Oryzias latipes: one gene and its partner. The protein of the gene in region 1 interacts with the protein of each later gene in a pairwise test. Links are inferred from orthologs where the notes say so. Each region holds a gene or a part of one and is shown in the gene's direction. Other genes may lie near its edges.

What was found.
Region 2: the proteins of mocos (region 1) and alpha-parvin interact in binary tests that used the Homo sapiens proteins (3 or more experiments, as listed by UniProt). The two-hybrid records come from large-scale screens. The link is inferred for Oryzias latipes from reciprocal best matches to the Homo sapiens genes MOCOS and PARVA.

The regions. Positions count from the first base shown.
Region 1 is NC_019873.2:30,323,888-30,326,796, reverse strand, and holds the end of mocos (molybdenum cofactor sulfurase), read left to right. Parts: intron 1-335; coding exon 336-518; intron 519-1,184; coding exon 1,185-1,281; intron 1,282-1,380; coding exon 1,381-1,522; intron 1,523-1,623; coding exon 1,624-1,728; intron 1,729-1,818; coding exon 1,819-1,923; 3' UTR 1,924-2,382; downstream 2,383-2,909. UniProt on the Homo sapiens protein: Sulfurates the molybdenum cofactor. Sulfation of molybdenum is essential for xanthine dehydrogenase (XDH) and aldehyde oxidase (ADO) enzymes in which molybdenum cofactor is liganded by 1 oxygen and 1 sulfur atom in active form.
Region 2 is NC_019864.2:719,111-723,060, forward strand, and holds the end of alpha-parvin, read left to right. Parts: intron 1-2,044; coding exon 2,045-2,117; intron 2,118-2,834; coding exon 2,835-2,911; 3' UTR 2,912-3,332; downstream 3,333-3,950. UniProt on the Homo sapiens protein: Plays a role in sarcomere organization and in smooth muscle cell contraction. Required for normal development of the embryonic cardiovascular system, and for normal septation of the heart outflow tract.

The DNA.
Region 1 (2,909 bases):
TGGCCCTGTGAAAGACTGGCGACCTGTCCATGACTTCCCCCGCCCTCACCCACGAGTGGCCAGGATAGGCTCCAGCAGCCCCGTGACCTCGGAAGGGACAAACGGGTTTGGACGATGGATGAATGACTCAGACTGTTTGATCTTTAACCTCTGTGACCTTTCCCAGCTAACGACCATCCAGAGTCTTTTGTTCTGAAAGAGCCGCTCCGTCATGCTGACGGATCTTCCTCCAAATGTTTCTCAGACATTAAATGTGGTCAAATCCAAACTGTTGCTGGTTCTTTAAAAACATGTTTGTAAGGCTTTTTTAACTTGGTTCTTTGCTATTCCAACAGGTTTGGTGCAGAATGCTTTGATGAAAGGTCGGTTTAAGGTCGTCTTGTCGGACAAAGTTCTTTTTTTCTGTGGATGGAGACGACTGCGTTGCATCAGTTCAGATATCTCTTTCTGTGCTTCAGACTCTGAAAACAGACTTACCTCATCTAAACTTTGGGATACAGACCAGCCTCAGTTGAAAGGTGTGCTCGGCAGGGAGGATCTTATAAATCTCAGTGTTGAACTGCATGATGGGAAATGTAGGATCCCGCTTTCTGTGAGCTCTAATTAACTACATTAAAGATCTGTCTGCATCTGCTCTAAAGATGTCCACCCTTCCTAAACCACTTCCATTCCAAACTATAAAGGTCCAGACTTTAAATCTGTGTGTGACTTGTGTTCCAGCCTTGTTACATTTCTTCTGTCCTTCATTTCCCACAATGCTCTGCATCCATCATTTGGTGTAATCCTTCCTTACTGGTGAAGGGCCGGGTCTTTCATCACTTGTAATCCAGGCTTTCTTTTAAATACATGTCTTCCCCCTGAGCGTGAGATCCTCCTGGTTCTGTGATCCGGGCCGGCTCTCTGGTGGGACGCCGCTCCCTGCAGAGCCTTCACAGGCCCTGGTGGGAAACCCTTTCATCTGTGAACAGCAGCATCGCTGTAGGAGGAGGTTCAGCCTCCGCGTGTGAACGCTTTCCATGTCTTTCAGGAAGTAACTGAAATTATTCTGTCCAACAGCAGTTCTCATATTTGTGTTTGGAGCTTTTGTGGCGTGATGACTCATGGCTTCAGTCTTCAGTCAGTCCGAGCTGCTCCATGTACAGATGTTGTCCTCACAGCCAACAAATGAAGTCTTTCCTTTCCAGCTGCCCCCTCCCCGTCCCTCTCTCTGGTGAATGAAGCCCAGTATCTCATGATCAACCTCGCCAGCGTGAAGCTCATTCAGAGTCTAATGAGCAGCAGGTCTGAACACATTTGCATCGCTCCAGGATGCATTTACATGATAGAGGCTGGTCTCTGCAGCTCAGTGGAACAACGTCTCCTCATTTCCTTCTGTCACAGGCAGGGCGGCGGCGAGGACCAGGAGCTCCTCGTCTCTCAGAAAGTCATCAGGCGCTTCCGAGCCAATTTAGTCATCACTGGAGGAGAAGCATTCGATGAGGATAATTGGTCACACTTGATCATTGGCAGCACCCGCTTCGTGGTGAGCTGACACTCTGACTTGAATGTGACATCTTCAAACGCATTCAAAGCCAGTCAAGTGGATCATTGCCAAAGCCTGTGCCCTGTGTGATAAACCGTAAGGTCGCGGGTCAGTGTGGAAGATGCCAGATGGTGGGAATAGACCAGGACACCGGAGCCAAATGTAAAGAGCCGCTCGTGTCCCTGTCTGCCCTCCGCGGCGGGAAGGTGGGTCAGAAACATTCGCCGCTCCTCAGTTATCTGTGTGTGACGCAGGAACAGAAAAACCAAAGATGATGGAGATGTTTCCACCTTTAGGTGACGTTTGGCGTGTATCTGACTCATGAGACTGCAGACGGCTCTGCAGCAGGACACGCTCTCTCTGTTGGTTCTGTTATCCAGCCGGAACCACACGGGCCTTGAAGGGTCACCTCTTTGTTTTTTCTCATCGCTGTTAATCCTCCCATCTTTTTAACGTTTTTAAAATGAAAAACATCAAAGATTTGGAATTCAGCTCTTAGATGGAATCACCTGAAATCTTAGCTACAAAGGAAATGTTATTTCAACAGCTGCCCATTTAACTCATCAACCTTCTTTACCAGCCAAAGACAGAAATGAATGTTCAACATATGCCGATGATCTACTGTTGAGAGGAGAAGAGCGCCGATCTGTTAGGAACGCAGCATCAGTGGAGGTACTTTTCTCTCTGTGTCCCCAGAGAATCACGGAAAGAACCGTTGCATCCTCTAAAGATGAAGTCGCCACATTGCCTTCCCTCTAACACCTTTACAACACCATGAACTGTAAAGGCAATGATTGTAATGATGCACTGAAAGCCATCAATAGGAAGAGAATGAAAATAAAAGGCACATCAACACTTCAGCTTTGGTTCATTTATTAATGCTGAAAAATAAAAACCAAAGTCCAGATGACCTTTTAACCTCTTTCTGGGATGAACCGTCGGGATGAGTGAGAGTCTTCAGGCAGAAATCTCACCAAGCCGTTTCTGAAGCCGGTTTATTGTCTTTAGAAAGTCTTTGAAAGCAAGAAGAGGTAAGAAGAAACATTCATCCAAATTAATGGAGTGTGAAACGTTCAAGTAAATAGCGTTCAGTTATGGAGCAATCTTTGCAGAAACCATGAAGCTCCAATCATGTTCAGGGAATTTGATTTCCTGGTGACATTGCTGAAGTACTCTGAAGAAAAATGTGTGAAAACATCTGCAACAGTAGAAAGTAGAAAATACTTTGTACTTTCAGTTTAGTTCCTGTTTACGTTTTGGCTTTTATTATTCGATATTAAATCTAAGACTTAGAGTTTTCTGTATGTCTTGGTGTTCATAACGGAATACTACAAAGATTTGATTCTGTTTCCAAAGTAAAGGAAGAACCAAAACCTCTGTGGCAGGT
Region 2 (3,950 bases), on another chromosome or scaffold:
TTCATAATCCAGATGGACAACGACCCAAAACATACAGCCAAAGCAACTCAGGAGTTTATTAAAGCAAAGAAGTGGAATATTCTTGAATGGCCAAGTCAGTCACCTGATCTTAACCCAATTAAGCAGCATTTCACTTGTTGAAGACTAAACTTCAGACAGAAAGGCCCAAAAACAAACAGCAACTGAAAGCCGCTGCAGTAAAGGCCTGGCAGAGCATTCAGAAGGAGAAAACCAGCATCTGGTGATGTCCATGAGTTCAAGACTTCAGGCTGTCATTGCCAACAAAGGCTTTTCAACCAAATATTAGGAATGACCATTTGGTTTTCAGTTATTTCATTTGTCTAATTACTTACAAGCTAATGAAATTAAGGGATTGTGTTTAGAAAATGCTTTAGTTTTTCACATTTTTATACAATCTTTTTGTTCAACCCATGGAATAAAAGCTGAGAGTCTGCACTTCAATGGCATCTGAGTTGTTTTATTTAAAATTCACTGTGGTAATGCCAAGAAACTAAATTAGAAAGAATGTGTCTCTGTCCAAATATTTATGGTCTTGACTGTGTCTCTTAAATCTGGTTGTGTGATAATTCTAAAAATGTTTGTTTGTAAATAGATTAAATAGTTAGATTTCATTTTGATTGCACCAGTAGCACCGCCCCTTTTTTCATCATTATATTTTCTAATTAAAACAGAATTCCTTAACAGCAGAATGCTAAAAGAAGTGGTTGATTGTTACAGATGGGAGAGGCGGAGCTGCGGTCGCTGCGGTGCAGCATTAGAAAGCTTTCAGCCAGGTTCTCATGTCCAATTATGGACACCAATACAGAGTGTGAAACTGGAACAATCAATCAATCAATCAATCACATTGGGCAGCGCGGACTGCCCTCTGGTAACGGGCCAGGCTCAACTGATCAGCTGGTTCTTAACACACACACACACACACAAAGTGTGAGTTCAGAGGTGATGGTGCTTTTGCTGCAGCAGCCCCCAAACTTTGCAGCCCCCCCATGTCAGACTGTTTGTTGAAGTCTTACTTTCAAGCCCACGGTTTAAAAGCAGCTCTTAATACCACAGAAATGTTTACTCATCTTATCCAACTTGATTTTGTGAGATTGTGGAGATGATTCAATTTAATTCAATTATACTTTATTGATCCCAAAAGGGGAACATTGAAGAGCTTTATAAATGAAGGTAGACTGGAGTTTTTTCTAAATGTATTTAAAGCTTTCCTTTTTAGAAGACTCCAAACCTACAGGTTCAGCTGAGCTCCAACTGTGATTAGCGACTCCTCTCCGCAGCACTGTGGTGTTCTGCACAGGCCTTCTTCAGGGACAGCCTCCTTTTGGGCTTCAGCCAGCATCCCCTGCCAAGCTGCTGGTAAAATAGGCCTCGGTGCTCGGCACCAGCACCGCCTCACAAGCACACAGAGACGGTGCTGGCCCGGAAGAGCGGCCCTCAGCGCCTTTAATCTCCTGCTGCACAGAGGAACACTGGAGTGCTTTGCAGGCCCCCGTGTGTGCGTGGCGGGTGTTTGAAGGCCAGAAACCCTGCAGTGTGTTTGTGTGTGTGTGTGTGTGGGGGGGGGGTTCAGGAAAGCCATCCTGCTTCACGTCAGAGCGGATCTCTCCTCTGTCAGATGGACTAAGTTCACAAACGGTTTCAATGGGCAAAGCTTCTAGTCCTTCCCCATGAGTGCACACACACACACACACACACACACACACACATGCACACAGCACAACAGGGGTGAATAGAAAGAGTCTTCCGGCGCCCCTGCCCCTTGATTGGTTTTCCTCCTCTCACAACTGTCTTTTTTCTGTGGCTGTGGAATCGCTCCTGTTTTGTTCCTCCAGGTTTTCTCATCAGGGAGCCTCGATTTCAGGTGTTCCTGCTGTCGTGTGCTGGCTGGACAGATGGGGACCCCTCCCTGGCATTAGGGCTCTTCCCTGGATAACCCCGGCTGCACTCTGATGGCTCGCCACGTTTCCACGTGCAGCTGCAGCATCTCCTCTGACTGCGTTAACGTGTTCGTCTGTCTGCGCAGGTCCACAACGTGTCCTTCTCCTTTGAGCTGATGCAAGACGGCGGTCTGGAGCGGCCCAAGCCCCGCCCCGAGGGTACGCCGCATGTTTACATCACTTTGGCTCTCTTGTAGCTTCACTTGTAGCCTTATATTTAGTGCCTGGATTGAATACTTTCTGTTTTTCTGTTGTTCAGTCGTTTTATTGTCCTCACCTATGAAAGCCTTGATGCAGCAAGTTATCGTCGTTTCAACAGGATTTTACAAAATAAGAGCATGAATGGCGGTCTAGCGGGTCCTGGCCTTAGTCTGACAGCTTAAGACGGATAAATGTACACAATGAATCATGTTTGGAGCTCAATCTGTGGGGTGGAGGGGTTATAAATGTATGGATTCCACAGATTTATCAGGTTTTACAGCAGTTCTTCACGTGCTTTGATTAAAAAAAAAAAGAATTTAAAGCTTTATGCTTGTTTAAATGAATGATTTTCAATTTCAGGAAATTAAAAGTTAAACCTGGAGAGCGCAAGAACAGTTTTTCTTTTGGGCTTTTAAAGTAAATTTGACCTTTTTTTGTCAATTTGTTTTGGGTAGCAGCAATTAGGAGCTACCAAAAATACATATATACATAAATACAAACATTTAACACAATAGAGGTAAATAAATGAAATTTAAAAACAGATTTGAGCCAGTGGGTTCTCCAGGGTCATTAAACAGCAAAATGGCGCACTAAACGATAATGACATGTATTCGTCTGGTTTCTCAGTGTTTCTTTCATGAAGCCTTTTTTAAATGGATGCTGGTGTTTCTGCAGACATCGTGAACTGTGACCTGAAGTCTACGCTGCGCGTCCTCTACAACCTCTTCTCCAGGTACAGGAACGTGGACTGAGCTCTCTGTGGCTGCAGCTTCACCTGAACACACGCCACTTTCTGCACGCATGAAGGCCTGCAGCTTTTCTGCTGCAGAGCTCTTCCACTCACCATCATGTATTTATTTGAGATTCGGAAACTGTTCCGTCTTTCTTAAGTGCCTTTTTGAGCTCAACCTCCTGGATGCTGCGATGGATGAGCTCCTTTCTTTTTTCTTTTTGCTGTAATGCTACAGAAGAAAACATGGAAGCCAAGTCTTTTTCTGTATGTAGATGTTTAGTTGTAGCTGAACTTGCATAAAAGCGTTGCAGATGTGGGACCAGCTCAGTCTGACTGAATCTAACTGCGTTTTTGCTTTCCCTCCTTTGTTTGGAGCATCAAACAGGCTTTATGTTCAGATGCGTTACATGTAATAAACAGTTCTTTGGCTGAACGCTGAACAATTTCTCCTTATTATTTCTGACCTCTCAAAGCCAGCCAAGAGGAATGCTTCTCCAACAAAAGAAAAACTGGGGTCAGAGTGGTTCCAATTTTGTTGGCGCAGAAAGACAAGTGAGCCTCCACAACAATTTTCTTTTCACTAAATTGATGGTTTGTTAGAAAAGCAGCGCGAAAGCTCTGTGAATGGAAGGTGACCCCGGAGTGGCTCCAGGAAGATGGCACACTGGCTGAATGTGTGAAATGCTTCATTCTCCTTACATTCCACAGTAACCTTTGTGGGGGGTATTATTGATAATGTTGCAGTGCTGCAGAGGCATTTGGATGGACATGTTTGTGATTCTTCTCTGCTTTTCAATTACTTTTAGTGTCCTATGCCCCCAAAACAGGAGAATTAAGGGTTAAAGTCAGTTTTGTGTTGAGGATAAACCCTGAGGTGAATTTACACGACTCACAGTAAGTTGGGGCTATAGTGAAAAACTTAGTGGATGTTGTAGACAGCGTCTGTTGATGATTGGGTTCGATTGAACCGATTCGGTAGGCTGCTGGGACAAATAATCATAAACTTTGAATGGAGAGTTTATTTCCGACTCTAAGTCCACCCAGATTGGTCTGTCATC